Lonchura striata: one gene and its partners. The protein of the gene in region 1 interacts with the protein of each later gene in a biochemical or structural test. Links are inferred from orthologs where the notes say so. Each region holds a gene or a part of one and is shown in the gene's direction. Other genes may lie near its edges.

Evidence for each region.
Region 2: the proteins of CREBBP (region 1) and ATF1 form a complex in vitro, tested with the Homo sapiens proteins (2 studies listed by BioGRID). The link is inferred for Lonchura striata from reciprocal best matches to the Homo sapiens genes CREBBP and ATF1.
Region 3: the proteins of CREBBP (region 1) and HOXB7 form a complex in vitro, tested with the Homo sapiens proteins (2 studies listed by BioGRID). The link is inferred for Lonchura striata from reciprocal best matches to the Homo sapiens genes CREBBP and HOXB7.
Region 4: the proteins of CREBBP (region 1) and FOXO3 are reported together in a solved structure, tested with the Homo sapiens proteins (2 studies listed by BioGRID, with this or other methods). The link is inferred for Lonchura striata from reciprocal best matches to the Homo sapiens genes CREBBP and FOXO3.

What each region holds. Positions count from the first base shown.
Region 1 is NC_134618.1:3,873,332-3,880,262, forward strand, and holds the start of CREBBP (CREB-binding protein), read left to right. Parts: upstream 1-3,915; 5' UTR 3,916-4,065; coding exon 4,066-4,150; intron 4,151-6,931. UniProt on the Homo sapiens protein: Acetylates histones, giving a specific tag for transcriptional activation. Mediates acetylation of histone H3 at 'Lys-18' and 'Lys-27' (H3K18ac and H3K27ac, respectively).
Region 2 is NC_134629.1:8,961,306-8,968,888, forward strand, and holds the start of ATF1 (cyclic AMP-dependent transcription factor ATF-1), read left to right. Parts: upstream 1-4,575; 5' UTR 4,576-4,707; intron 4,708-7,583.
Region 3 is NC_134627.1:8,098,463-8,106,476, forward strand, and holds the start of HOXB7 (homeobox protein Hox-B7), read left to right. Parts: upstream 1-5,013; coding exon 5,014-5,413; intron 5,414-8,014. Other genes in the region: HOXB8 (homeobox protein Hox-B8), read left to right, coding at 80-497, 1,257-1,564. UniProt on the Homo sapiens protein: Sequence-specific transcription factor which is part of a developmental regulatory system that provides cells with specific positional identities on the anterior-posterior axis.
Region 4 is NC_134605.1:69,784,075-69,791,843, reverse strand, and holds the start of FOXO3 (forkhead box protein O3), read left to right. Parts: upstream 1-4,759; 5' UTR 4,760-4,774; coding exon 4,775-5,368; intron 5,369-7,769. UniProt on the Homo sapiens protein: Transcriptional activator that recognizes and binds to the DNA sequence 5'-[AG]TAAA[TC]A-3' and regulates different processes, such as apoptosis and autophagy.

The sequences.
Region 1 (6,931 bases):
TGCTCTCTTTGAGTTTGTTGCATGTTTGGCATTACTAGTGAGTGAGGCCATCCAAGTCTTGCAGTACTGACACCAAAGGGCTGTGATACCCAGGGTACTCTTAGGCCTTCAGGGTATTTAATCATAGCCCTCTTTCCAAGGGGCAGCTGGTAACAGCCGAGGTCTTCCTCTCCCTCCTGCCATTAACCCAGCGCTGTTCTGATCCCATGGCAGGGGATCTGATCCCCTTAGGGGCCATCCTAAGGGGACATTTCACCACAGAGAAGCTGCAGGACACAGCAGCAGTAGGATCCTCCTCCTCTGCCCCTGCTGCCTGGGGTGAAGGATTCCCTCCCTCCAAAGCACCTCCTTTCCCTCCCACTCTGCTCCTGGGACTTGCAGCCCCGCTTTGACTTCACTGGTGTGGCAAGCCTGGCACTTGCTGTAAAGACAGAGGAGCTCTCCCAGCTCATCATGGCCTCCATACATCCTCTGCTTTTCTCCCAACAGCGGGTACACAGCATTTCCCTCAGAGGCACCGACACAGCAGCTCCTGTCACAGCACTGGGGCTGTCAGCGCCTCAGCAGCTGTGTGCTCAGGGCTGCAGTACTGCTGTAACATGGGTGTGCTGCCCAGCACCAGGCAGCATGAACATCCTCTGGAGAGTGGCAGTAGCCATGGGACCACTCAGGATCTGTCCCCAGTGGTAAATCTCCATCCTGACTTTATCCCAGAGCTGCAGAGTTAGTGCAGCAGCAGGGAAGGGGGTGATGAGGAAGTGCTATGGAGGGCTCCTGGTGTCAGCCACTCCAGCATATCCTTAAATGATGTAATTGAAAAACCACAGCTTCCTTTGGGTTTGAGGGGCTTTAAACACCAGCTCGTTCCACCTTCCTGCCATGGGCAGGGACACCTTCCACTAGCTCAGGTTGCCCAGGCTGTAATGACCAAGGCAAGCACAAAGAGTGATCCAAGACACAGTTCAAAATACACCAACTAAACTTGTTAAAAAGTTCAAGCAGGAGCCAGAAAAAGACCCTGTTGTCCTCGGCTGTGACTTAGAATCTGATGTGACTCCCACCCCTCACCTCCAACAGCAAAACATTTTCCTTTAACCTAAACTGGAATAAATGCTTTATACCACAGTAAAATGCTGCTGGACAGGAGCTGCTGCTTTTACATCTAGAGGCACTGTGAGACACCAAACCCTGTCCCACACTGAAACATCCTGAAACAGATGGGAACTCATTGCTTTTGAAGGAAATTAAAGCAGGCACAACCAGAGAGCACTTACTTGTGTAGCTAATGAGTAGTGCAGTGATAGAAACAGAGGCCTGACAGACCTCCACGTGATTACAGCCAGACCTCAGCAAGGACAGGCACCATGTAAATAAATACAGAATTTGCAAGTAAATGTAATGAAATTCATGTAAATGTAGAAGTAAATGTAATGAATTCGAGTTTTGCAGTAAACAAAACGCAGACTTACTCTTTGCAAAGTAATCTGTCATTATAGATCTCCTTCAAACCAATAAATTATTGCTGTTGAATCCATCTCAGCTTATGGAGCTTGTCAACAAATCCTCAGAATTGTGTCCAGATCTTCTCCAGCCTCTCCTCCCATTGTGGCTACCTTTGGAGGACATTCCAACATGAAGATGATGAAAACAGCCCCAAGCAACCAGTTTGGGTACAAGGAGCTCTGCTGCCACACACGTCACCGGGGCTTATATGACCTGATTCTCAGGTTGGGAACCAGTATGGAAATCTATGGAAGTATATGAGCTCCAGTCTTCTAAACCTGTTTTGGGCTGGGGAAGTCTGTCTAGACAGAGCAGAAAGTGTTTGTAAAGTGAGGCTGGGGTTTGATGCTGGTGCCTGAGAGTGGGTCAGCTCCGATGGGACACTTGCCCTTGTGTGTGGCTGCTCTGAGGGCATGGGGAAAAATGGGGGCACGGGGAAAAATGGGGGCACGGGGAAAAATGGGGGCACGGGGGAAAATGGGGGCACTGAGGGGGAGCTTGGGAGGGGATGTTGTGATGGGCGCATTGAGAGGGAATGTCCACAGTAGAATTGAGAGGGGGAACTGCAGGGGGTAACTGAGAGGGGACATGCTGAGGGGGACATTGAGAGAGATCCTGTCTGTGGACTGAGAAGGGAAGTTGAGAGGTGACTGAGGGGAAACTGAGAAGGGAGACTGTGAGGGGGATGGCTGTGAAGGGGGCATTGAGAGGGGACATCTTTGGTGAGACTGAGAAGGCAAACTGGAAATACAACTGTGAGGGACTGATAGGTGTCTGAGAGGGAAAATTGAGGACGATTCAGGGAGAGATGAGAGGGGACATCCATGGTGGGATTGAGAGGAGAGACAGGGGTGAGGGCTCTTAGGAGTATGTGGGGAGGAAAGACTATGAGGAGGCATTGAGCCATCCGTGGTGGTAGTGAAAGGGGAGATTGTGTGGGTGACTCTGAAAGGACTGAGAGGGGAAGGGGGGATCATGGGCAGACATGGAGGGGACACTGTGCGGGGGCACTGCGACATCCGAGGGGAGTCAGAGAGGGGATGTGGGGGGAGACTGGCAAACGACTGAAGTGAGGGATCTGAGGGACTGAAGGGAGACTCTGAAGGGCCAATGAGCCATCCATGGTGGGACTGCGAGGGGAGATTGTGGGGGTCCCTACGAGGGGACTGAGGAGAAACGGGGACTGTGGGGAGGCATGGAGGGGTCGCCGTGAGGGGAGCACTGAGACATCTCTGGTGGGACTGAGGGGAGACTGCGGGGGACGCTGTGAGGGTGGAACAGACATCTGAGGGGAGTCGGAACACTGTGAGGGGACAGCTCTGGGTCCTGAGGGGGAGCAAACAGGAAAGACCAGGCGAGGACTTTGTGGGTGGGAGGGAGAGAAATGCACTCTGAGGGGACTGAAGGGAGATTATGAGGGGGCACCGGGAGCAGGCACCTGAGACATCTGAGGGCAAACGGAGAGGGGACGCTGCGAGGGGGTGCTGCGGGGGGAAGCCCCGACTGAAGCAAACAGGGCAGACCGAGGCGGTAGCGGGGCGCACCGAGGCGGGGCAGGGCGGCGGAGAGCGAGCGCACAGCACCGCCGGCACGGCGTGCGGGGCGGGGTCGCCGCCCGACCCTCCCGCCGCTCCCGAGCCCCTCAGCGGAGCAACTGAGGACGGCGCCGGCCGCTTCCGGCGCCGCGCGCGCCTTTCCGGCAGGGCGGGGCCGCGCCGCGAGCGCGCTGACGCAGCGCGCAGGCCCCGCCCCCGCCCCGCCCCCGAGGGCTCTGGAAAAGAGAAGAGAAAAAAAAACTTTTTTTTTTAATTGAGGAATCAACAGCCGCCATCTTGTCGCGGAGCCGGAGCGCGGCGCGGGCGGAGCGGGCCGGGCCGGGCCGGGCCGGGGCAGCGGGGCCGCCCCGCCGCCGCACGGGGCAGCCGCGCCGAGCGCCGCCGACGCGCACAGGGGGCTCGAGCCAGCGGGGCGCAGCCGCCCGGAGCCAACCGACCGCCGCCGCCGCCACCGGGAGCCGCCGCCGCCGCCGCGCCGCGCTCATTGTTTTGGGGCGTTTTTGGGGGGTCGGCGCGGTTTTCCGCTTTTTGGTGATTTTTTTTCCTTTTTTTTAATTTTTGCCCCCCCCCCCCCCCCCCCCCCGCTCCCTTCTCTTCTCCTCCCCCCCCCCTCCTCCCTCCCCTACCTCAGCCGCGGGCGGGCGGCGGGCGGGGGCCGGGGCGAAGCCGCCGCCGCGGAGGGGAGGGGACGGGGCGAGGCGAGGGGAGCGTGTGGGGGGGCGGAATGCGCCCCGAGTGACGGCCTGAGCCGCCATCCGGGCACCGCGGCGGGGGGAGCGCCCGGGAGGAGCGCGGCCGGCAGGGAGGGGGCGCTGGGCCCTTCGCTCCCCGCCCCGAGCCCTCCTCCCTGCGGCCTGCGGCGGCCCGGCATGGGGGAGCGGGGGCGGCCGGCCGGGCACTGAGCGGCGCTGTTGGGTTCCCGTGCGGCGGAGGAGCGGGGACAGCGAGCTCGGCCCCCCCCGGGCACCCCCCGACAACGATCGCCGGCTCCGCCGCTCCGGCCACCATGGCGGAGAACTTACTCGACGGGCCGCCCAACCCCAAGCGAGCCAAGCTCAACTCGCCGGGCTTCTCCGCCAGCGATAGCACAGGTAAGGCCGCGGGGGTGGCTCGGGTGGGGCTCTACGCCGGTTCTCCCCCACACACCCCCCCGCCCCCGCCGCCCCGCCGGAGGGGGGGCCTGCGGGACCGCCCGCCCTGCCGCGGTTCCTGGCGGGGGTGGGTTGGGCCTCCTGCAGTCGAAGTTACCGGGCGGGACCCGTACGCCAAGTACCGTCCCGGCTATAAATAGCGGTTGGAAAGAGACGTTTTTCGAGTTAGGTTTCCCATCTTTTCCTCCATCATCTTCGTTTTTAGTGCCTCGGTTTGGGTGATGGGGGTGGACAGGTGAGCGGAGTGCGGGTAGGGAAGCGACCGTCCTGCTTGTTGTACGATCGTGGAATGGTTCGGGTAGGAGGGGACCTTAAAGCCCGTCTTGTTCTATCTTCTGCCATGGGCAGGGACACCTTCCACTATCCCAGGTTGCTCCTAGCTCCGTCCAGCCTGGCCTTGGACACTTCTAGGGTTGGGGCAGATGCAGTTTCTCTTAGCAGCCTGTGCGGAGGGCCTCACTGTCGTCAAAGGAAGGAATTTCTTCCCGATACGGAATCTAAATCTACCCTTCTTCAACTTGGAAGGGTAGTTAAGTTTCTGTCTACTCCTTAAACCCCACAGATTACCCACAGCTAATAGCCCTATACAGGCTTTTTCACTGTGCCCCTGTGTGTGACACACTACGGAATAAAAACTCCTTAATAGCTTCTTAGTCATAGAATGATATGGGTTGGAAAGAACCTTGAAGAACATCTAATTCTATCCTCCAGTTAATACTTTGTGCTTTTTTTTACCTCCCAGCCTGTGACCGAGGTTTTCGGGCATTTGGCTTAAACTGTTTCAAGCATTTTTCCTTTAAACCCCAAACGATTTGCCGATAATAATTGAAGTTGTGGGGTTGCTCGTATGCCGAAATGCCCAGCAGCGTGGCAGTCATTGCGACTTGCCTGCGTCGTGTGTAGTGTCTCTGGCGTGCCTTTTTCTTCAAATGTGATGGATTTGTAGATAATAAAACAGATAAAAATGTCTTGTTTCCAGCCAGTGTGTGCCCGTTGTAAATACACACGTGTGCATAAGAGCATGTGTGCCTGGACCGACCGGCCTCTACCGGTGTTCCGACTGTTTCAATCCCTGAAAGAGTGGTTTCAGAAGAACTTGAAGTCTGTTGCACTTTAATTTCTGCTTTCAGAGATTAATGAATCTTGTGGAAGGGATAGTGATAAGTTAATCATGCTGTGCCTGCTGTGTTTTCATAGACTGAAAAAAAATACTACTATAATTGAGCTGATAAATTCTGTGGGTTTTTTCGTCTTGCTCCATCTATATTTGGCAACACTTTACAGATGCTTTGGTCCTTTAGGGTTTTTTTATGGAAACCTTTTTTCTCAGCCTGCAAATAAATTAAACAAGCGAGAAAGAAACAGTATCGAATTAGAATTGTCAGGGAATATCTAGGTGAGGTCTTGTGATCTTACCCCCTTGTGTGGAAGCACTGGAATATATGGAAGGCTGATACACAAGTTGCTGCGAAATGCTCTTTGTAACTCAGGACAAATACAGTTTATAGTTCTTTAATACTTCAGTGAGAAATTTTAGACTCTCCTGGTAGCCAGTGTCTTGGCTTGTTTTTTTTTTTCTTCCTTCGTTCTTTTTTGAAGTTCACTTGGGCTGTTCTGGAATGCTTCAGTCTTAATTACGTCCTGTTCAGCAAGTTCTCGTGTGTCTCGGGGAGCTCTGTGTGGCGCTGGATGTGTGAACTCCAGCATCTGCAGAAAGTTCTGCAGGGCTCAGGGGGCCTGGGGGCACCGGGATGGCAAACCCCAAGTTGTATTCTGGACAAGTGTGTCCAAGGAGTTCTGTCATCATCCTGGTGTTCCATAGGCAAAAGTACCTCTCTGCCAAGGGTGTGGGTGATGTTTGTGCACTTAAAGAGAGGCTTGTTTTTAGGAAAAGCACTTCTAGGTTTGTTGCCAGCAGTTAATGCTGCTTGTTGAAGGATTGCTGAAGGTTTCCGTGCATTGTGGCAGGCGATACAAATAGTTTGAGTAGTGATTGCTGTCAAATGCCTGCTCCTGGAACTAAACCAGGCTGCTCCCTGCTGCTGGGGCTTAAATAGAAAAGTTCTGTTGCAACCTGGAAAGTGGCCTTTGTGATCGAGGGAGCCTGGGGAGATGGGTCTGAGGCTTTTGCCCTGGCTGAGCAGTGAGTTGAACAGAATTATTGTAATTGCAGCGGTAGCCCCACACTGGTGGGTGCTGTGGCTGCCGTGAGGGGGATGAGGGGGACGTGCTTTCACAGCCTCTGCATTGGGCCCAGCTGAACAGTTCTGCTCAAGCCTGCGAATGCTCACACCCGAGGCTCTGATGGCAGACCTGAACGTTGGGCAGAAAGCAACTGCTCTCCTCCTTGTTTATATTTTCTTGATGCTTTGATGCGGTGATGTTAAGCAACTCCTTTTGTCAGGGTAAGTTTTAGCTGCCTTTAATCTTTCTGATAAAAATAGCTCCTCAGCTTACCGGGGCAAAGTTTGTGCCATTGAAATTGGTCTGCTTACCTTGTGAAAATACAGCCTTTTCTGTTAAACCTCAGTGGTTAAATTCAGTGTCTGGTCTTGCAGAAGGGTGCAGAGATGAAAGGATAACAGAAATGGGTGCTGTGACCATCGTTAAGTTTCATGATAGTCTCATTTCGCAGTTGCCGTGCTGCTCTTTGTATCAATAAGGAAGGTTAAGACTCCTGGCTGTTAACTTCACTTGCCATTGCTGTGCTGTATTGAATGA
Region 2 (7,583 bases), on another chromosome or scaffold:
TTGGCTTAGACACAATGTGAGATGCTCCCGCCTTCCCCAGGTTTCTGATTTCATTTGTGTCTTTATTCTGGCCAGAACCCTTTGGTTTTGAGGCACATCTTTCTCCAGGAGGCTGAATTCAGCACGGAATTGGGGAGAAATGGCAGGGCAAGGAAGGAACTGAGGGACAGCCTCATCCTGTGGCTCCAGGTGTGGAAAGGAAATCCAGGTGAATTCCCTGCTTGTGCCATTCCTCTGGGATTCCTCCAGCTCCCTGAACTACTGTGAAGAGGCTTTAGTGGAAACTGGGAGCAACCAAAAAATGCTCTCCTCAAAGCATTCCCTGCAAGAATTCCAGGTTTAAGTCAGACACAATTTTTCTTTTGCTGGAGGAACAAGTAATTCTGGCAAACACATTTTTAAATACCATTGTGAAAACTCTTATCCCAGCCTGTGTCAACTCCAGCATTAGGGAATGGGAAGAAAGAGAAACCTGAAAGCAGCAGGTCCAAGCTCTTCCTGCTGGGGAGCAGGGCTGGGAGAGAGCTGATGGTTGAGCTTTGACTCAAAATGATCTCTTTTTTTTTTTAATTCTTCATCTTTTAACAGCAATTACACTTCTCTGGGTGCTAATGTATGATTTTGGAAGCCTTGGGAGCTGCTACCAGATCCTGCAACAGGGTTTTTTTTTTTTGGTTTTTTTTGGTTTTTTGAGTCAGATGTGGAATACAGTGTAAATAAACTTTTCAAATGTTCCAGATTACCTCACGTGAAGTTTTTAGGCAGTTTTTACAAGGTTGATGGTGTGGACTTGGAAGATCCTGTGGCAGTTACTGGAGCAGAGTCCAGTGGATCCACGAGCAAACCCCAGCTGTGTCCTTGAAAAGCTCCAGCTGCATCCTCCTCACAGAGCAGGAGCTTTAAAACTCAGAAGTTTCAAATGGTATTTTTGAAAAATATTTGGTGGGGGCGTAGGAACTGGAAGTTTTGTGGCAGGTCTGGACTTAAGGTTCTTTGCAAACACTTTGGGTTTCAGGGGCACATTTGGGAACCTTGTCTGTGTTTTCCACAGTATCAGCCAACACTGCAGAACATGCACAAAATCTTCAATATATTTAGTTTTAACAAATTGAACACAAAGTGGGGACAGTGGCAGGTCAAAGACTAAACCAGTTGGTTCTGCAGCTTATTTTGGGTGTAAAGTGCATTTTCAGCCAGAAAATTCCTGGTTTTCTGTGTTCTTTGTCACCGTTTTTGTGTTTCCTGCACAGCCCAGGCCTGGCCAAGCAGCTTCACTCCAGTGTGACCTTTCCAGGGAAAACTGGTGGTCTTGGACCTTCTTCTTTACTCAAGCCTTTAGATAAATTGTCTGAACAAACATTTTTTTTATCCACTGAAGTAGATTTTAAGTCCAATTCCAGGATTGTCTTTTATTTTTATTCGTGATTGTTCACAAATAAAACAACATGTGAATGAATTCCATCAAATGTGGCAGGTGAAATTCCTGAAATGGCATTTTTTGATTGTGACTGGATTGATCTTTTTTTTTTTTTTTTTTTTTCCCCTTATTTTTTGGTTTGGATAGGTACTGATAGCTTCCTATGGTTTGAGTTTTTTATCTTGCAAGTTCCCTGTGTGCTCCAAATCTCCTAGCACGTTGCATTTCTGTGTGCTGGAGAAGTGCAGGACACAGCCCGTGGGATGAGAGAAGGTTCCAGGGACGCTGCTCAGTTTGGCTTCCCTGAATTCCCCGAGTGCTTTGAGAATTTTCTATCAATCCAGGAAGGATGGAGCTCTGGAATCCCCAAAATTCCAGCTCTGCTCAGGATTTGAGCCTTCCCCAGGTCATTCCTCTGCAGCTGGGGATGATCTTTCCATATTTCTGGGGAGCAAAGCAAAATCCTTCACTCCAGACTTTGGCAGGTGGGCAGGGCTGAATGTTTTGGTGTTTTTCCCAAAAGAAACCAGCCTCTCCTCCAGTGTGACTGCAGCTGCTGGGGTTGCACAGGGCACATTATTCCCTTTTTTCTGCCCCTGGGGTTCCAGCTTAACTGCATTAAAACTGAAAAACTGGGAATTCTTCCCACTGGACTGAAGTGTATTGTGTGTGTCTCGCTGCTTCTGAATCTTCTCTGAGCAAACGCTGTGGGAACGGGGCAGTTTTGTCCTTTTTTGTTAGAATTTGCACTTCATTTCTGGTTTAAATCAAGTCAGCTGTGTCCTACTAACTGTCCTAAAATAATGTTATAAAAACCAGATCAATTTTAGCCCTAGATGCTTTTTTTCTTTTTTTTTTTTTTTTTGCTTTTATTTCTGTCAACCTCTTTCCCATTGTCCAATCCAGACTCCGGCATTCTGTAATTATGTATAAAGGTTTTATTTATTTAAAATTAGATTAGCTACATTTTTAAATTTAACACCTGGCTGGACAGTGTCCCATTAACGCATTGATTGTGTTTCCTTTGTCTTGTGTTAATAAATATTGATGCCTGGTTGCTTGTTGAGTCCTTCCAGCGCTGTTTCCATGAAGGAATTTTATTTTTAAGGAAGAAAACATGGGTTAAAATTGATCCTGGGCTTAGGGAGAACTTGTAAGTATCTTAAAATTTTTGTATTTTTGTCAGTTGTGTGTGGAGAAGTGTTGGAGCTCTGGGGGTGTGAAGGAGCTGGGCTGGGCAGTGTCCTGCACCTGTAACTTTGGGAATCTGAATTTTTGGGATCAAAGCAGGGAGTGGAGCTGGAGAATCCTGAGGGAGCTGGGAAAGGGGCTCAGCTGGAGAAAAGGGGGATCAGGGGGAATTTCTGGCTTTGCACAACTCCCTGACAGGAGGGGACAGCTGGGGGGTGAGTTTGGGATTTATCCCAGGGAAATCAGGAGGGATTTCCCCATGGAAATTGGAATTACAAATTGGAATTACAAATTGGAATTACAAATTGGAATTATTGCTGCCCAGGGAGGGTTGGAGTGCCCGTCCCTGCAGGTGCCACTCGGTGCTCTGGGAACAAGGTTGGATTCCGTGGCCTCGGAGGGATTTTTCCAGCTCAGGAATTCCCAGATCCTGTAAAAAATCACATTCCTGTCCCTAGAGGTGCTTGGCTGCAGTTGGTGCTTTTCAGGGAACACTGAATTTCCTCTTCTCCCCAGTGATGGCTGAGGAACTGTCCCATGAGGGGAGCCCCCAAATCCTCACTGTTGTGAAAAACGCCAATAATTTGGTTTTTAAAATTTTAGAAGTTTAATAACAATAAAATGGTTATAAAAATAATAATATAATTAGAGTAATAAAGTTTAGAGTTAGGAGAATTACAAGATAATAAAAAGCAAAGAATTATGGATGTCTGGATGCTTTCAGACACTTAAGTCATGAAAAGCATCCCTTGTGAACAAAGGAATCACCTTAAAACAATACACTGCTGCATATTCATATATCCTTCATGGTTATGCATACATTTTATTTAAAACAAGAATTCTGTTGTTTTTTAACTGTTTCCTTTAATCCCCATGTCCCTTCGAGTCTGAGCAAGGCCTGAAGAAATTAACTTCTTCTGATAAGAAAACCATAAATTCCTCTGCTTGGGAAGATTTCGGTGTTCCTCGAAGCGAGCACCTCATTCCTAAAAAGAAAACTGTCCCTACATACACAGGCTCTATTTTACCATTATGTTGTAACCTAAAACTATATTTAACACACCACTTAAGAGAATTAATACAGCATAACTTTCTGACGTGACACATCTAATATTCATTGTAATATTTGCCGAAAGCCAAGCGTAGCAGATGAATTTTCACGCTGTGATCCTAAAACCCTCTGTGGAATAAATAACCCCGAGAGGGGCCGAAGCCCTTTAGTGCCACTTCCTAAAAATCCGCAGGGAGCGGGTGAGGAACGGCCACGGAGACGCGGCCCTGCCGCTGAAACCCGGCTGCACCCGCTGTGCTGGGAGTAGCGGGAATTTCGGGAATTGCAGGATTTGGGGAATTTGGGGGATTTTGGGGGATTTCGGGAATAGCGGGAATATCGGGAATTTGGGGGATTTTTGGGAATTTTGGGGATTTTGGGAATATCGGGAATAGCGGGGATTTTGGGAATAGCGGGAATTTTGGGAATATTGGGAATTTCGGGATTTTTGGGGATTTCGGGAATTTCGGGGATTTTAGGAATATCGGGAATAGCAGGAATTTCGGGATTTTGGGGGATTTTGGGAATTTGGGGAATTTCGGGATTTTTGGGGATTTCGGGGATTTTAGGAATAGCGGGAATTTGGGGAATTTCGGGGTTTTTGGGGATTTCGGGAATTTGGGGAATTTTGGGGATTTTGGGAATTTCGGGATTTTTGGGGATTTCGGGAACTTCGGGGATTTTAGGAATTTTGGGAATTTCGGGGATTTCGGGAATTTCGGGATTTTCGCGGCGCTCCCGCCCCAGAGCGCGGCGCGGCCTCCGGCCGGCGGGGGCGCTGTTGCCGCGCCGTGCCCGCCGGCGGCGCTCCGCCGCTCCGCTCCGTGGCGCGGCCGGGCGGGGCCGGCTCCAGGCGGCCGCTCTAGCCCGGCGCCCGCGCTCCGCGCCGCTGGGGCTCTATGGCGGGGGCCCCTGGGCGCGCACTCTATGGTCGCGGCCCGCCCCCGCCGCCGCCGCCGCTTCCCTGAGGCGGGACCGGGCCGGCAGCGGGGCCGGGACCCGGCGGCGGCTCCGGCGCTCCCCAGGCGCGGCCCCGCGGGGCTCTGAGGTAAGCTCGGGCTCAGGAGGCCGCCCCGTCCCCCCCACCCCACCCCGCTCCCTCGGCCCGCCCGCCGCCGCCGCTTCTCCCCCCGCGCCACCCTCCGCCCCCGCGGGCCGTGAGGGGAGGACGGGCGCAGGCCGCGGCCTCGGCCGCTGCGAAACCGCGGGGAGTTCCCCCCGCCGCCGGGCCTGAGGCGCTGCCCTGCGGCCTGGGGCTGCTGCCGGGCCCGGGGACGGGGGGAAAAAGCTTCTGGGGGTGTCGAGGGGAGCCCCGGGTCCCGCGTCCCCCCGTGTCCCGCTCCCCTCGGGAACGGGGAAAGGGAAAGGTGCTCGGGGGTGAGGAGGGTCCCGCTCCCCTCTGGAACGGGGAAAGGGAAAGGTGCTCTGGGCGTGAGGAGGGTCCCGCTCCCTTCAGGAATGGGGGAAAGGGAAAGGTGCTCAGGGCGTGACGAGGGGAGCCCCAGGTCCCGCTCTCCCCGGGAATGGGGGAAAGGGAAAGGTGCTTTGGGACTGACGAGGGTCCCGCTCCCCTCTGGAACGGGGAAAGGGAAAGGGAAAGGTGCTTTGGGACTGACGAGGGTCCCGCTCCCCCCGGGAATGGGGGAAAGGTGCTCTGGGGGTGAGGAGGGGAGCCCCGAGTCCCCCCGTGTCCCGCTCCCCTCTGGAACAGGGAAAGGGAAAGGGAAAGGTGCTCGGGGGTGAGGAGGGTCCCGCTCCCCTCTGGAACAGGGAAAGGGAAAGGTGCTCGGGGGTGAGGAGGGTCCCGCTCCCCTCGGTAACGAGGGAAAGGGAAAGGTGCTCGGGGATGAGGAGGGTCCCGCTCCCCTCTGGAACGGGGAAAGGGAAAGGTGCTCGGGGGTGAGGAGGGTCCCGCTCCCCTCTGGAACAGGGAAAGGGAAAGGTGCTCGGGGATGAGGAGGGTCCCGCTCCCCTCTGGAACAGGGAAAGGGAAAGGTGCTCGGGGGTGAGGAGGGTCCCGCTCCCCTCTGGAACAGGGAAAGGGAAAGGTGCTCGGGGGTGAGGAGGGTCCCGCTCCCCTCTGGAACGGGGAAAGGGAAAGGGAAAGGTGCTCGGGGATGAGGAGGGTCCCGCTCCCCTCTGGAACGGGGAAAGGGAAAGGTGCTCGGGGGTGAGGAGGGTCCCGCTCCCCTCTGGAACGGGGAAAGGGAAAGGGAAAGGTGCTCGGGGGTGAGGAGGGTCCCGCTCCCCTCGGTAACGAGGGAAAGGGAAAGGGAAAGGTGCTCGGGGGTGAGGAGAGGCTCCGGCCACCGGGAGCCGCGTCCCCGAGCGCTGCCCGCTGACCAACTCTACTTTATCTCTAATTAAACCGCCGTCAATGGGCGTCGTTACCTGTCCTCTGTGAATTTTCCCCCAGATCCGTGTCTGAGCCTTGGCTTCCAGTGCTCAGTGAGGATCCGGGGCGGTATAAGTGATAGAAATGATGATATAAATGATCTCTGGGGTGTTTTTCTCTCCCGGCCATCAGATCCCTGATGCGGATAGAATATTGACGTTTTTAGGCTGCAGCGTTTATTTCTGAAGCTCCTGTCAAGGGGATGTTCCTGTACAGGCTGGGAGTGGAAGAAATCCTGTGAGGAAAGTGCTCCTGGAGTTTTAAGGAATAATTTTGTGTGTTTGTGGAATGGAATCTGGAGCACTGACTGGGCACCTTGACTAGAGACTGCTCACTTGCTCTCTGGTCGGATGTGCTGCCCTTTTACTGATTTCTGAGGGAAAAAAATGGAGTTCTGTCCGTTTTCTGGGTGAGCAAATTTTCTCCCAAGTGTCCTAATGGCAAATTTAGGTAAATAATATTTTCACTGCTGAAAGCAGCTGATTTTGAGGACCCCAAACTCCCCCAGATTACTTAAGCATCGTTCAAGAAAACGTTTTGAATTTTCTCTGTACAATTTCTAAATGTCAGAATTCGACTTCTGTCACTATTTGAGAATAAAATTCTGTGTCAAATATTCTTGATTTCTGATGTTATAAAAACATAATCCATTGGCTCTTACAATATTTCAGTGATGAAACATCATTCAGACCCTTCCTCTACTCAGTTTGCAAAACAGAACTTGGTTTCTTCCTCTGTAGCATTTCAGGGAATTTACAGAATTAGGGAATCAGTGGGAGTTGTGGGGATGGGTTTTTCTTTTTTAATTGATGCTCCTTGAGCACGTCAGGTGTTTCTGGTGGCTTTGCCTGGTGGTTCATGCACACGGAGGGTGTCTGTGAAATGTGTCCTGATGGAACTGTGACATTCCTGTTTATGTTTCAAAGGAAGGTGGATTTGAGGCTCAGGTTTGAAATAGGATGAGTTTTCTTGGCTGGAGGGAGATGATGCCCAGAATTTTAGGAGTTCTTGAAGCAAATTTCATGAGCTGCTGTTGCAAAATCCTTTCAGTTAAATGACTTTTGGAGGTGGAGCTGCACGGAGACTTTGGGTTTACTGTGAAAATCGTCACCCTTGCCTGTCTGGTTCTCAAAAAGTGGTGTTTGTACAGACTGGGCCAATAAAGCCTTGGTGTTGCTCCTCTTGTCAGTGCTCTGTGACAGCAAAATTCTGCCTTCACCCCAAAGAGAGCACCTGCTTTCAGCTAAATAAATTAAATTCAGCTGTCAGAGCAGTTTTACACAGGGGGTGACTCGGGTATTATCCTTTTTGGTGCTTCTTCTTAGAGCTTGAGACCTGCAGGTTGAGGTTTTTCCCCCATTCCAGGGGGAAATTCCCAGTTTTCCAGCTAAATAAAGTTAAAAGCATGGGAGTCTTGTGTGACAGCCCAGAAGCTGTGAGGTGCAGGATGAATTTAGCAATCCTTGCTAAATCTTTTTATTGCCTGATGTTGGGTGAATAATTAAATATTCCAGAGCAAGCAGAGATGA
Region 3 (8,014 bases), on another chromosome or scaffold:
CCCGCTGCTTTAAAAAAAAAAAAAACAACAACAACAACGGGAAAAAAAAACAAACCAACAACCTCTTATTGAAATTAAAATGAGCTCCTATTTTGTCAACTCACTCTTCTCCAAATACAAAACCGGCGACTCCCTGCGCCCCAATTACTATGACTGTGGGTTCGCTCAGGAGCTCGGGGGCAGACCCACCGTGGTGTACGGCCCCAGCGCGGGGGGCACCTTCCAGCACCCGCCCCAAATCCAGGAGTTCTACCACGGCGCCTCGTCGCTCTCCAGCTCCCCGTACCAGCAGAACCCGTGCGCCGTGGCGTGCCACGGCGAGCCGGCCAACTTCTACGGCTACGAGCCGCTGCAGCGGCAGAGCCTGTTCGGCGGCCAGGAGCCCGAGCTGCTGCCCTACGCCGACTGCAAGCTCGCCGCCGGCGGCCTCGAGGAGGCGGAGAGCTCGGAGCAGAGCCCTTCTCCCACGCAGCTCTTCCCCTGGATGCGCCCGCAAGGTGAGGCGAGAGCGGCGAGCGGCGCCCCGGAGCAGCCCCAGCTCCCCCCAAACCCGCCACCCCCTCGGCTTTTTTCTTTTTCTTTTTCTTTTTCTTTTCGGCGTTTTGCTTTCTCTGCCCCTCCTTTGCTGCCTTTCTTTCTCTCGCTGCCTTTTTCTCGCCCCCGGTGACTGTATTTTAGTGCTTTATGGGGGTAAACTTTTGCACTTGTAAATTGCTTTATAGTTTAATTACCCTGAAGGAGACCTTTTCTTCTGGGGGCTGAGCGAGCCGGGCTTTCTGTGGAAGGAAGCGTCCTTAAAGTTTATGGCACTTTTATAGCCTTAAAAAGCCCCTTCATTTTTGTTTGCCGTTCGATTGGGGCTCTCGGCCGCGCTGCCGCCTCTCTGCGGGCCGCAGCCTTTTATTTATTTTCATTTTTTGCTGCTTTTTGGGGGTTTTCCCGGGCCGGGCTGCGCTGTTGTTGTGCTGGGGGTGATAATCGGTGTGCAAAGCGCAGCTCCGGCCGGGCTGCTGGGGTGGGCTGAGGGTGACCGACCCCCCCTCTCCCTTTTCCCTCTCCCCTTTTCCTTCCCTTCCCCTGCCACCATCGCCCTTTTCCCTCTGAACCGTCTCCCCCTCGCCCTCCTGCCTTCCCGCGGGGTTTTTTGGGGGGTTTTGCGAGTTGTTTGCGCCTCTCCCCGAGCCTGGTTTATGTTTCTCTCAACCTCCTTCTCCTTTCCGCCCCTTCTCTCCCACCCAACCTTTGCCATCCCCCAGCAGCCGCCGGACGCAGGAGGGGGAGGCAAACCTACAGCCGCTACCAGACGCTGGAACTGGAGAAGGAATTTCTATTTAATCCCTACCTGACCCGCAAACGGAGGATCGAGGTCTCGCATGCCCTGGGATTGACAGAGAGGCAGGTCAAAATCTGGTTCCAGAACAGGAGGATGAAATGGAAAAAGGAGAACAACAAAGACAAGTTTCCCAGCAGCAAATGCGAGCAGGAAGAACTGGAAAAACAGAAAATGGAAAGAGCGCAGGAGGTGGACGAGGAAGGGGAAGCACAGAAGGCGGACAAGAAATAAAGGGAATTTTGAGGACTGAAAGGCAAGCGCTGCTGGGGTGGAGGAGCCCCCGAGCCCCGCGTTAATGAGAGTTGCTGTAAGGGAGGGGTGGGGGTGGTGGTCGGGGGGGGGGGGGGGGGGCACACGACAAAAACAACAAACCAGGAAAACAAAGCGTAGAAAAGAGAAAAAAGGGGAAGCAGGAAAAAAAAAAAAAAAAGAAAAAAAACCACAAAAAAATCCCTTTTATTGCTGTAAAACAATATAGCTGTAAGCGCCACTTTCCCGATTATCCTTTGACACAATGAGCAGAGCGCGGGAGGCTCCGGCAGCTCCCGGCTGCCTTTTGCCAGTTATTAACTAGCGGTAGTGTAACGCAATAGCTTCTGTAAAACATGACTGTGAAATTCTCTCTCTGTCTTTCTCTCTGTCTCTCTCTTCTTTCCGGGGGCGCGGGGGGTGGGGTGGTTAACATAGCTTTCAGCGCTAGAGGAGTTCTGTGAGATTACATTTGTGCACTTTTTTATTTTATTTTATTATTATTTTTATTTTAATTTGGATGTTTAGTTCCTTATTTCCCATCCTTTTTGTTGTCGTCGTTGTTGTTGTTATTGTGGTTTATCTGTATGTACTGGAGGTAGCTATTGAGACAAGCATCCCAACAACATGAAACTGCCTATTTATGCTATAGTTATCTCTCTCTTCACTTTCCCCTCCTCTTCTTTGCCTTGGTTAGTTGGGGTTTTTCCTTTTTTTTTTTTTTTTTTAACACAATTTTTCAATGTCTCTTCCATAAGAAAAAAAAAGGGGAAAAAAGAAAAAAAAATGCAAAAAAAAAAAAAAAGCGTTTTTCTTTCCTTTAGTTAGCATGCGCACAGTGAAGCAAGTTGTAAAGTGATCTTTAGGTTAACTGTGAAAAAGAATGTATACTGTATACGTGAATTACTTTATTGGGGGAACTAATGCTATATTTTGTTGTTCTTTCACCACTTTGTTCTATTGTCTAAACCTGGAAGCGGCGGAAGAAAAGTTACAATAAAGTTTACAAGCGAGAATTCCGTGACATCATTCCTTTCGCCCTGCTCCGCTTCCTCCAGGACCGCTGGGATAGAAAGGAAATTAAAAAGTCAATTTGTGCACCACCGAAAATAAAAGGCAAAACCTCGGCCGGGCTCGGAGCTGCTGCCGGGCCGGGGCCGAGGGGAGGGGAAGGGCCCGGGGCAGCCGCGCTGCCTCCCGCTCCTCTTCCTCCCGCTCCTCTTCCTCCTGCTCCCTTCCTCCTGATCCTCTTCCTCCTGTTCCCTTCCTCCTGTTCCCTTCCTCCCGCTCCTCTTCCTCCTGCTCCCTTCCTCCTGATCCTCTTCCTCCTGTTCCCTTCCTCCCGCTCCTCTTCCTCCTGTTCCCTTCCTCCCGCTCCTCTTCCTCCTGATCCTCTTCCTCCTGTTCCTCTTCCTCCTGCTCCTCTTCCTCCTGTTCCCTTCCTCCCGCTCGTCTTCCTCCTGCTCCTCTTCCTCCTGTTCCCTTCCTTCTGCTCCCTTCCTCCTGCTCCTCTTCTTCCTTCTCTTCCTCCTTCCCTTCCTCCTTCCCTTCCTCCTGCTCCTTTTCCTCCTTATCCTCTTCCTCCTGCTCCTCTGCCTCCCACTCCTCTTCCTCCTGCTCCCTTCCTCCTGTTCCCTTCCTCCTTCTCTTCCTCCCGCTCCTCTTCCTCCTGTTCCCTTCTTCCTGCTCCTCTTCCTCCTGCTCCTCTTCCTCCTTCTCTTCTTCCTCCTGTTCCTTTCCTTCTCCTCTTCCTCCTTCTCCTCTTCCTCCTCTTCCCTTCCTCCTTCTCCCCTTCCTCTTTCTCTTCCTCCTGTTCCCTTCCTCCTGCTCCTCTTCCTCCTTCTCTTCTTCCTCCTCTTCCTTTCCTTCTTCTCCTCTTCCTCCTGTTCCCTTCCTCCTGTTCCCTTCCTCCTGTTCCCTTCCTCCTGCTCCTCTTCCTCCTCCTCCCTTCCTCCTTCTTCCCTTCCTCCTTCTCTTCCTCCTGCTCCTTTCCCTCCTGTTCCCTTCCTCCTCTTCCATTCCTCCTCCTCTTCCTCCTGCTCCTCTTCCTCGCAGCTCCCAGCTGGGGCTGCCGCCTGGAATTCGCTGTTGCAGGTAACGTTTCGTGAAGCTCGTGGCTTTTTGGTGGCTTTTGGTGGCTTTTGGTGGCTTTTGGTGGCTTTTGGAGGCTTTTGGTGGCTTTTGGTGGCTTTTGGTGGCTTTTTGTTTTGGTGCCCTCGCCCTCCCGCGGCAGCCCGGCCGCTCCCGGCCCCGCTGGGGGATCGCGCCGGGAGCAGCGCAGCTGAGCCGCCGCTTCCCCCGGCGCTCGTAACCTTGGGGAAGGAGAAATCGCCACAAACCCCGCACCATTGTCTGCTTTTCCTGCCTCCCGGAGCTTTTTTTTTATTTCTTTCTACATGCCCCTCACCCTGCCCTCCCCTCCCCATCCCACCCAAGCCGGGGCCGCCGCCTCTTCGCACAAAAAAAAAAAAGAAAAAGGAAAAAAAAAAAAAAGAAGAGAAAGAGCCAGATCGCGGTTTTGGATGGTTCCTGCGCTTCTCCAGCAGAAAGCAAATCAGCCAGCTGCTCAGGTCTGACTTCTGGCTGGAATTGAGCCCTGCAGAAGCGCTGACACGCGGAACAAGGGATCCCAGCGCTCTTTATTTTCCCCAACAAGAAAAGCAAATGCCAGCTCGATGCGCAGCTCAAAGCCTGTGGCACTGGAATAAATTAGATATAGAGCTGAATGGCATTTTGGGGGGTGGAAAAAAAAGACGCCTGGAACTATTAGGTATCAATGAGACATTTGTCTCTTTTTTTTTTTTTTTTTTTTTTTTTTTTTTTTTTTTTTTTTGGGGGGAGGGGGTTGAGGAGGGGGCGAGGGTCGAGGGGGGAGGGGAGGGAATTATGGCCAGTCTGGTGAAAAAGTAGCTCGGAGACGAGGAAATGGTGCAAAGGAGGGAAATTTAGACGGGATCAATAAAGGGATAAATAGAACTCCCTTCCCTTTCCTCCAGCAGAGAGAGACCGAGAGAGCCTCGCTGGTTTATCAGCAACGTGCTTGTAACCCCCTCCCCTTTTTCATGTTGTTTTTTTCTTCTTCTTTTTTAATTTTTTTCCTCCCCTTTCTCCCTCGCTCCGAGCTGAAAACTGATTACAGGTTGCTTATCGACTCCGGCACAATTTCACCCCTTCCAGCAGAGCTCGTGCAGGGTTTTATAGGGCATCAATTATTTATCATATTTTATAAATCCAGCCGCACAGTCCCGTGCCCCCGAGGAGGGGGCGGCCGGCGATTGGCGCCGCCGCAGCCACGTGCCCGCGCGTCACCGGGGCCGGGAGGAAAAAGGCTCTTTTTTGGTGTAAATCTGGACTCTAATTCCGTAATATATCACGGTACCTCGTAAAACCGACACTAAAACGTCCCGACCTACAAATCACCCGGCCAAATTATGAGTTCATTGTATTATGCGAATGCTTTATTTTCTAAATATCAAGCCGCAAGTTCGGTTTTCCCATCCGGAGTGTTTCCCGAGCAAACTTCTTGCGCTTTCGCCTCCAGCAGCCAGCGAGCGGGCTATGGGGCCGGATCCGCGGCGCCCTTCGCCGCTTCCATGCCCGGCCTCTACTCGGGCGGCAGCTCCGTGCACCCGCAGCCCCCCAGCGTGTACCCCGCGGGCTACGGCCTGGAGGCCGGCTCCTTCAACATGCACTGTGCCCCCTTCGAGCAGAACCTGGCCCTGATGTGCCCGGCGGACGCCTCCAAGCAGAGCTGCAGCAAAAGCGACCAGAGGGACGCGGATCTGCAGGGCGACAGCAACTTCCGCATCTACCCCTGGATGAGGAGCACAGGTAGGAGCCCCGGAGGGGGCTGGGGCCGGGGGAGGGCGGCCGGGGGCCGGGAGGGGGCTGGGGGTGGGGGGAGCGGGAATTATTTGCTGGCGTGCGGAGGAGGAAGGGGGTGGGGGTCGTCCCCAGCTCCTTTCGTGACGTTTCGCTGGAAACGCGTCTTGGAAAGAGAGGAGGGGGTGGGTGGGGTGGGGTGGGGGGAGCCACACACCGCCACCCCCCTCCTGTCCTCCTCCGCGCCCCCGTTTGCCGTCAAGCCGCGCTTGTAGCTCCAGATACCGATCGGGGCCGTGTCTGTCTGTCTGTCTGTCTCGGAGGGGACGGACGGAGCCGCAGGGATCGCGGGCAGCCCCCGCCGTGCGCACGGGCGGAGGCTGCGCGCTCCGGGACAGGGGCTCGGGGTGAAGCCCCCGACGGGAGGCGCTTCCAGGGCCGGGGCTGTTCTCCTGGAGGCGGCCAAAGCTCGGCCCGGCTGTCCCGAGCGCTGCGGTGCCCGCAGCGGCAGCGCATCCCTCCCCGCTCCGCGGAAACATCCGCGCTCGCCGAGCGGTGACAGCCCGGCGTGGAGGCAGGGATGGAAATGGGATCAAGAGCGGCGCCTTCTGTCCCAAAACCCTCGGGGAAAGCCCTTTCGGGGCGGCCCTGCTGGAGCTGGGGCGGCTCCGGGGGTGACCCCGCTCCGGGTCACGCTGGCCCCGCACATGTCCCGACCCTCCGGGCTGCCTCCGGCTCCGTCTCGGGGCATTAACGTCAATTAAGGATTAATAAATATCCCAATAAATATCCCTGGCCCCCCGCGGGAGGGGCCCGGCGCGGCCCCGCTCCCCCCGGGCCGCCCGGAGCGCTCCGGGGCTGGCTGGGCGCTCCCTCCGTGCCCGCGGTCACTCGTGGGCTGGTCACGCTGCCCTCGTGGGCTGGTCACGGTGTCTGTGGTCACTCGTGGGCATGGTCACTGTGTCTGTGGTCACTCGTGGGGATGGTCACGGTGTGGGGCTGGTCACTGTGTCTGTGGTCACTCGTGGGGATGGTCACGGTGTGGGGCTGGTCACGCTGCCCCTGGTCACTCGTGGGGATGGTAACGGTGTGGAGAGGGTCACTGTGTCTGTGGTCACTCGTGGGGATGGTCACGGTGTGGGGATGGTCACTGTGTCTGTGGTCACTCGTGGGGATGGTCACTGTGTGGTCACTCGTGGGCTGGTCACTGTGCCCGTGGTCACTCGTTGGGCTGGTCACGGTGCCCGTGGTCACTCGTGGGGCTGGTCACTGTGTCTGTGGTCACTCGTGGGGATGGTCATTGTGTGGTCACTCGTGTGGGTGCTCACTCTGCCCGTGATCACTCGTGGGCTGGTCACTGTGCCCGTGGTCACTCGTGGAGCTGGTCACTGTACCCGTGGTCACTCATGGGCTGTTCACTCTACCCATGATCACTCGTGGGCTGTTCACTCTACCCATGGTCACTCGTGGGGCTGTTAACGATGCCCGTGGTCACTCATGGGCTGTTCACTCTACCCATGGTCACTCGTGGGGCTGTTAACGATGCCCATGGTCACTCCTGGGCTGTTCACTCTACCCATGGTCACTCGTGGGGCTGTTCACGATGCCCGTGGTCACTCGTGGGCTGGTCACTGTGCCCGTGGTCACTCCTGGGCTGTTCACTCTACCCATGGTCACTCGTGGGGCTGTTCACGATGCCCGTGGTCACTCGTGGGCTGGTCACGGTGCCCGGGGCTCCTCACACCCGTGGGATGCCGAGAAGAGCGAGAAAGGCGCTGCTGCCCCGCCTGGGAGCGGCACGGGCGGGGGGACGCGAGCTCCTTTTCCAGCTGGCCCAACCTGGGAGCATCAGCCCCGCTCCGCGGCGGCGGAAAATCCGCGGCAGGGCTCGTTAGGAGAGCTGGGGGCGAGCGGAGAGCGGCCCAGGCTGGCCGGGAAGCGGAGGGAAGGAGGAGCAGGGCGCAGCAGCCGAGGCACGGCGGGCTGGGCAGGCGGGAGTTCCCTCGCACTTATTCGGTGGTCACTCCTTTCCATTACCTGCTCCATAATTCATCCGCTTTTACAGTTGATTTATCAAAGACCAAATATTTCTGGTCGTAAACACTTCATCTCCGCTTTTATCCGACTTTAGATTTAAGAAGCCCCCCCCGCTCACTCCTCTTTCAGCCGGTGACGCTGCGAGGATCAGCGCTGGAGAGGCTTTGGAAAGAGAGCAAACCTCCAAAAAAAACCCAAAAAACCTGGATGTTCTGGGATCAGCTGAGCTTAAAACCAGAAAAACTCGAGTCAGGGCGTAAAATCAGGGGTCCCTTCCCCGCAGCCCCCCTTCCCTTGCCGTTCCCGGTGCCCAGGGTGCGATCCCGCTCGCGGAATTGCGGAATTCCACCCGCGAGCAGAGACGGAGTTGTCATCCCCATTCAGCAGCGCTTTATGGCTCTCTCCTCTGCGGATTTTACAGCCCGCATTCCACGACCTGCACATTTTTACTTTACAGCTTTGGCCGGGCGATTTTGCCTTTTTTTGTTTCCCTCTCACTTTTCCTTTTAATGACTGGACCTTTTCTTCTTGAAGAAAAAAAAAATTAAAAAGGCTAGGAAAAAAAAATAAAAG
Region 4 (7,769 bases), on another chromosome or scaffold:
TTCGACTGCTAATTGCATAAACTCAAGAACTGCATGTACCCCCAAGTATTTAAAATCTTTTAAGCAAGCTTTTGAGCAATCTCAGCCTAAAGAGCAGGTTTTAAAAAAGGATTTAAAATACGCAATTAGTTTTTGCTTTTTCCCCACCCCTTATCTTTCTTCCTGGGCCTCAAAGTATATTTGTATCACATTCATAGCACATCAAGAACTTAGCTATTGGTTTAAGATGGAAGCTGAGATGCTCCTTCAATGGCACATTAAGAAGAGGGATATCAGGGTAATACCAGTATTGCAGGCCTCATAAATAATGCTGAGAGTCCAGTTTGAAGCCAGCTTGAGGTGATCTTTAAGTTATTGTTCATCACTTCAGGGAAAATTTTATAGCTAGAAATCTGTGGCCATCTTTGGCAAACCCATCAAGTTTCCATGGCACAGTTTGGACCCTTGTTCTGTGTCTGCCAGTCAGCCAATCTTTCCATAACAACTGTGAAACCCAGTAGCCAGTTTTAGCCAAATTGGGCAAAAAGTTAAAGTCTCAGGGTATGAATCTGGCTGCTTTATAAATGACATTTCTTTCTAATCACCAGCATCCAGGTTGCTCTGAATCAGCCACAAAGCCTGTTGCCTATTGCCCAGTCTGTGTTTAAAGGACACAGTAGGGAACTCTGGGAAGAACAAAAACACACTAAAGGAGCCACTCTCTCATGGTGTGGATGGGAGGGGTACACAGGGTTATTACAGGGGACAAACTTCTCAGAGACCAGGCTGCAGGTGTCTCACAAAACAGCCCATGATATGCTTGTTCGTGTGAGGTCCATGTAGACAATGCAGCTGTTGTTTAACATAAGTGCAATATAACATTAATTTATTGAGCGGCAGTACACTTCACAGGAGATGTCCTTAATGCTGTACTGACAAGAAATTCCAGGTCTCCCACCCCCCATGTGACTTTATCTCCAGCCCTGCTTTTGCAGTTAGATATTTGTGTGAGAGGTGAAGCCAGAAATGTCACCTGCACGTCTCCAATTGCCATGTGACTGTGACCCTGCCAGATCCATATAATCCAGATACCGTGATAGGCACAGGTTTCCCACATCAGCCTGAACGGCCACAGCAGATAAAAGGAGATGCAGAGGAAGAAGCAGCCCTGCCCTAAAACACTTGCAGTCTAAGTAGGCAAAGTAAGTGAGCTGGCTTTCAAATGGCCTGAGGGCTGGCCTAACTTTATTCCTGTTGAAGTCAGTGATAAAAATCCCATAAATGGAGCCTTTTGGAAAATCCCACCCTTGGGGCATGAAAGTACTTAAAGGAAGAGACTGAAAATTGTGCAAGCTTTAGATTCAATTTTCATCAGTTTTTATGCGTATTTCAGAGGCCCCAGCCATGGAATGACAATACATCCTGTGACTTTCTGTTTTGCTCATGCACTTTTCATAAGCAAAATGTGTAGGAAAAATTATACTGTGGTTTTAATTACGCCCCTAGACTGCATTATCATGGGCACACACGTGGTGCACGGAGCTGTGAAGAACTGGTACCATGACGTGTGATAAAGGTCGTGCGACTGATATACCAGTGAATTCTGAAGAGGACAGATAATCTTGCTCAAGGCTGGCACTCAGGTGATCCAGTGTCATTTCTCAGTTCTGGCATGGGCTTCCTGTATGACCTCAGTACAGTCATGTAATTGTTCAGTGCCTCAGTCCATCATCTTTTTAATAGGGTTACTACTTAGTTACTTCCTTTCTCCCGCCCTCTCCTGCCTCACTTAGACTGCAATTCTGCCAGGGAGTGGAGCATTTCTTACCACGTGCAGGCCCTTCATCCAGTACAATGAGACCTAATAGCAGTGCTGGTAGAGTAATGCAATGCCAATTAAATAAATAAATGAAGATGATAATATCATTTAGGACTAGATTTGCTGCTTGCAACCCAGCCCAAGGTCAAAGTTCTGTGCTTCCCTGGAGCTTTGGGATGCGCTCCATGTGGAGGTTTCTGCAGTGGTGAAAATCAGCCCCAAGCAGTAGCTAGTTTTGGGAAAGGGCTGAGCACCGGTCACAGTTTCACAGGTGGCCTTCTGTGGCTAACTGCTGAACGTCACAAGGAAAGCCTCCTTGGAGATGTAGTTGGCCTAAGCAACTTCTCACCACACCTTTTTGTCTGAACTTGGTTGCTGGCTCTTCAATGCCACTGTGGTTTTCCTCCCTACCAACTGCTAAATCATATACACAAATGCCAGTGTCACAATTGGAGAGTGGCTGGTGTCTTTTTGAGCTGCCTTGCATTTTTGTAGGGGCCATGTTACAACAAAAGCCGTGGCAAGGCACTCAACATTGTGACCCAAAATGGAGTTGCAGTGAAAATTATTTCCATTACTTGAACCTGCATTTATTCTGATTAATTCGGTGTCTTTTGCTATATTTAGACAACCAGGGATTAATTGTATGCATGCTGAAATGCTGTCCCTTGTAATAAAATCACACTAAACTATTCCTAACTTCAGTGGCTCTTGAACTAGACACTTAGGGCCTTAGGCCTTACTTAGTAGCACGCGTGAGGCATGCAGGATCAGGGTCTCGATTGTTTTATAATCAAACTGAATGGTTTACAAATCTCTCTACTTGTCTATAATGCAATACATCAGGAATAGTTTGTCTGCTAATTTTATCCGGCACATCTTCTGAAGCACACTGCTTCTCAGTCCATGCTATTGTATCTTGTCTCGGAGACCATGTTGGACTAAATCTAGTCCACCACAGTCTAGGTCGGTATCAAGCCGGGTAAGAACTGATACATAGAAGTTGCCATATGAAGTATTTATAACTACATCCATATTAATAGCTTTTATGTTCCTTGGTTTTGTGGGTCACCCCTTTATTCAACCCATAATTAACTACATATTCAAGTGAGCTACTTTGGAGGGCTTTCTGCTAGGGCATAGCCTCTAAGAGGGAGGTACAGCGAGATTGTATTTCACGTGTGGACATGTCTGAACACGTTCCTGGAATCACCCACAGGCAGAGTGAAAGTTTTCAAATTACTAAATTAGACTCTGTATTTTAAAGTTTACCAGAACAGCTCGTGTGCACTAATAATTTTTGACCAGTGAAAATGAGTACAGAAAAGAAACAGGCCTAATACAACTCTTGGAAAAATTTACCGGGTACTTGGAGAGGTTTGAACGCTTTCCACTGGGCCGGCCGGACAGGGCTCCGGGGCCGCAGGGACGGCAAGCAGAGAAGCGCTGCCCTCCCCAGGCGCCAGCGGCTTCTCCAGCCCGCCCAGCTCCGGCGCCTTCCCCCATCCCGGCGCTCCCGCCCCGTTGGGGCGGCTCCTGCGCGGCACCGCCCGCCCGTGGGCGGGCCCTGCCGACCCGTGCGGTTTGGTTGAGTCTCCCTGCGTGTGTCTATAACTTTGTGTTGCTGCCGGTGGTTGTTAGGAGGAGGGATGTGGAAGTCGGCGGCGAGCAGGGTGACAGGCTGCTCGGGCGGGCTGCGGCGGCGGACGGGCTGGGCGCGGGCGGATCGCTTGCCTCTCGCCGGCTGCTCGCAGGGGGAGCGGGCGCTCTGCCGTTTTCCCATCCTTCGCCTTTAAAGGGAAGGCTCTCTGGAGCTGAAGGCGCAGGAGCAGCAGGAACCATGCAGCAGCGCTGCTTCTTCCTCCCGTGAATTCGGATTTCGATTGCTGCCGGTTGTGGAGGTGGCTCTCGATCCAGCACCCCCCCGCCGTCTCCCGCCCCTCCCGATGTGGCTTTGCCTGCCTCGTCTGCCTGCGCTTTTTAAATGACTTAAGTGAAGGGGGGAAAAACTGTCAAGATGGCAGCAGCAGGAGCAAGGAGGTTATGAATGTGGTGTTGATGCTGGAACAAAACGTATTCTCTTTGGCAGCCCTAGGGAGGGCTTAAAGCTACTGGACCTGTTGGAAGACTGGCGATTTGATTTGTTCCCGTTGCATTTGCTTTTTCCCTGCAAGAAGGAGGATTTATTACTATTTTTTTTTTTAACCGAGCAGCCCCCGGGGTGGCCTTCTCCTGCCTCCTCGTCCGTCGGCTGTGAGATTTTGGGGGGTTGCTTGCGCTTGGCTTGGGGGCACTGCAAAGTGACAGGTTTACGCTAGTGTGCAGTTGGATGTATGCTAAGACTTCGGCTCCCTTTAGGGCGTTTTGAAGAAGGAAAAAGTCTTCGGTGTAACCCAAAGGACCGCTCTCCCTGCCCTCCCGCCGACGGAGGGCGCGAAGGACCACCCCCCCAAAAGGCAAGATATCTGCGGAAGCGACGAGGAGCGAGCTCGGAGGCACCGGGGGCGTGAGGGGGTCTTCTCCCGGCTGGATACAGCGCGGTTCTCGCTGAAGCTACTTCTGCATCCGCATGGAGTGAAACATAAACAAACGCACACACGCACCGCGGGAGCGGCCGCCGCTCCGCCGGCGCGGAGGTCAGCGCCGCGGGCACCTCCGGCACCGCCCGGCCCGTGCTGCCGCCCTGCGCGGCCGCTCCGGCTCCTAATCTGATTTTTTTTTTTTTTTTTTTTAACTCCCTCCCTCCCCTTCTCCCCCCGCCTCCCAGCTCCGGCGTGCGCATCGCCCGCGGGGAGCGGGGCTCGGGGCGCAGCGGAGAGCCGGCCAGCCCATAGCGGAGCGCGGCATGCCCGCCCGGCAGACCCCCGCCTGCTAGGCTCCCGTCGGCACCGAGGAGGCGGCGGAGGAGGAGCGGGGTCGGCGGCCGCCCGCCCGCCCCGTCGCAGCGCCCCGCAGCCGCCCGCGGGGGAGGCCAAGATGGCAGAGGCGTCGCCCCCAGCCCCGCTCTCGCCCCTGGACGTGGAGCTGGACCCCGAGTTCGAGCCGCAGAGCCGCCCCCGCTCCTGCACCTGGCCCCTGCAGAGGCCCGAGCTGCAGGCCAGCCCAGCCAAGCCCGCCGGCGAGTCGACCGCCGACGCCGCCTCCATGATCCCCGAGGAGGAGGACGACGAGGAGGAGGGGGGCGGCTCGGCCATGACCGTCGGCAGCGCGGCTCCCGCGGGCGGAGAAGCAGCGGCGGCGGCGGCGGCGACCACCGCCGTGCCGGAGGAGGCGGCGCGGCTGCTGGCCCCGCTGCCCGGCGGCGGCCCGGAGGGACCGAGCCTCTCGCCGGGGGGAGCGGCGGCGGCGGCAGGCGGCGGGGGGCTGAGCGGGGGCCCGGCGGCGGCGCCGAGGAAGTGCTCGTCGCGGCGCAACGCGTGGGGCAACCTCTCCTACGCCGACCTCATCACCCGCGCCATCGAGAGCTCCCCGGAGAAGCGCCTCACTCTCTCCCAGATCTACGACTGGATGGTCCGCTGCGTGCCCTACTTCAAGGACAAGGGCGACAGCAACAGCTCGGCCGGGTGGAAGGTGAGGCGGGATCCCGGGGCCGCGGCGCTCCCGCCGCGCCGCCCCGACGGGCGGGCTGCCCCTGGAGATGCAGCCGCGGAGCGGGGTGCTGGCGGCTCGCCCCGACAGCAGCCCGCCGGGCGCTGGTTGTGCTGATGGTGGTCGCCCTGTCGGCTTTGCTTTTTTTTTTTTTTTTAGGAGAGGGATTAAGGAAAGTTTTGTCTCTTTCTTGTCGCTTTGTACAAGCGGTGAGGGCTATTGACTCTGAGGGCAGAGTACGCGCTGGAGCTCAGTTGACTTTTGTGATGCAAAAGCACATAAGCAGAAAGATAGAGGGAGAGAGTAAGAAAAATGAAAAATATTTGTAAGGTGTGTGGGTTTTGCTTTGCCCTTTTTTTTTTTTTAAGTTATGGTAACACCGGAGGTAGTTAATGCTGGAAACGAGCAGAATTGCTTTGATGTATGGTCAGTCTGCATCTCAAAGCTCAAATACAGAAAGACTTTATTATTTTTGTCAAGGAAACCCCCAGTTTTTTGCCCATGTGTTCCTCAAAAGCAGTAGAGGGAAATTCGCGTTTTGACATTTCTTCATAAAGTTAATCAAAGCATGGAGTTATTGGCTGTTCAGCCCCTGGAATGCGTGGTTTGTGATTCCTACGTTTCCAGTGTATGAGAGCACCGTCTACTGATAGTCCCAGCATTTTCTGTCCAGCACTGCGACAGTGAGCAGCTAAGAGTACTACCGTTTTAATAAGTGAGGGGGAAAAAAAAAAAAAAAATATCTGGTTTTGTGGCTTGTTTGCTCAGCGCGTGCAAAAGCACGTTGCAAGCAGGCAGGGTTTTACCCTCAAGAAAGAGTCATATAAGGCCTACCAGGAGCCAGAACTGCATGTAAAGCACATTTGAAGTGATTTTCAGAACTGCTTTTTTTTTTTTCCTTAGTTTTCCTGTTCATCTGTCAGCGTCTGTTGGACGCCAAAATGTCACATACTTGCAGCTGTACAAAAATGCAGGTGCTGCTTGATGCCGATACTGTTTGCAGAAGGAAATCCCAGCAAGGTTCAGTTGCTGCTGAGGGCCGATACTAGCAGCATCTGACACTGAGTTTTTGTATGGATGGCTGAAGGTAAATTTGCCAGCAAGTTCAGTGCTTTTATAGAAAAAATTAAATTTTCTCTTTGAATTTAGCTAGATTTGGATCAGGTGATAACTTTCAGTATACAAATTGGTCACAAATGCTGTATAGATGAAACATTTCTGGCAGTTTCTGTACTAGCAGCCTTATCATGTATTTTGGTGCCCGAGTAGGACTTGCTGCTAGGAATTGAAGTGCGGCTGTATGATTTTTACCTTCCAAATGAAGCACAGGAGAGGAAGTATTTAGTTGACAGACTTGTCTTAGGCTGGAGAAAATACAAACACAAAGTTTACTGCTGGCATGGCTAGCTGAAGACAAGGCTTTTAAAACCACACATATTTTTTTACAGCTTTTTTGTGTGTATTAGATGTTGAATTTTGATCTGACTTTACAAGTGTGACGCAGAATGTGCTAAAGGGTTACATCTTCCAATGACAGCCTGTGCCTTCATAAGTTGTTCGGTTTCACACACAAGCAGTGGCTTTAGATGTCAGCTGTTACGGCAAATCCAGCATTTTTATCTGGTACTTTGAATTTTCAGTGAATTCTCAATATCTTATTCAAACAAAGATTTACCTAACAATGGGGGTAACACTGTTTTGAATTTGGTGACAAAACTCCTTTTCACTTTAGCAGAAGCAGAATCTGGGCCATAATATGAAGTGCTTACATTGATTAGTATCCTTAATACTGTAACAATTTTTTTGACACTTTATACTGTTAATTTGATATTGATTCCTTTGCTGAGCAGCATTAACTGGTACTTGGAGGTAATTAAAATGTTAAAAACTTGGATCCCTTGAGATTCTTCTGTTATAATTTAGTTCAGAAGTTTCTCACAAGCCTTTAGGATGACCTTTCTCAGGACATGCAGTCACACTGGTAGCAGCAAATTCTGCCTCTGATTATGAGATGTCTCTAAAGTTAGGGTAAGACATTCAGTCACATTAACGATGGGTGTAGTTGTGTGTGGGTGGTAGGGGCATACTGGAAGGGGCCAGGGGGAGGTCAGGAGCTAATAATTCGCCAGGCATCTGAAACTGGAAAACGTAAGTCCTTAGCAAGGCTAGGATTTTTTTTTAAGTGCGTATACATTCAGAAGAGGACTACGTCAGTTTCTTGGCTGTAGAGTAGTTTAGTTTGTGCAGAGGCAATATTCTTATATGGGGACTCCATCTTAGTCTCCTGATATTAAAACACATTATATCTTATTATCATCTTTGTTTCCTTCCCAGGTAATGAATACAACTCTTCAGGAACTAATGTCAGCTTTTCACATTAGAC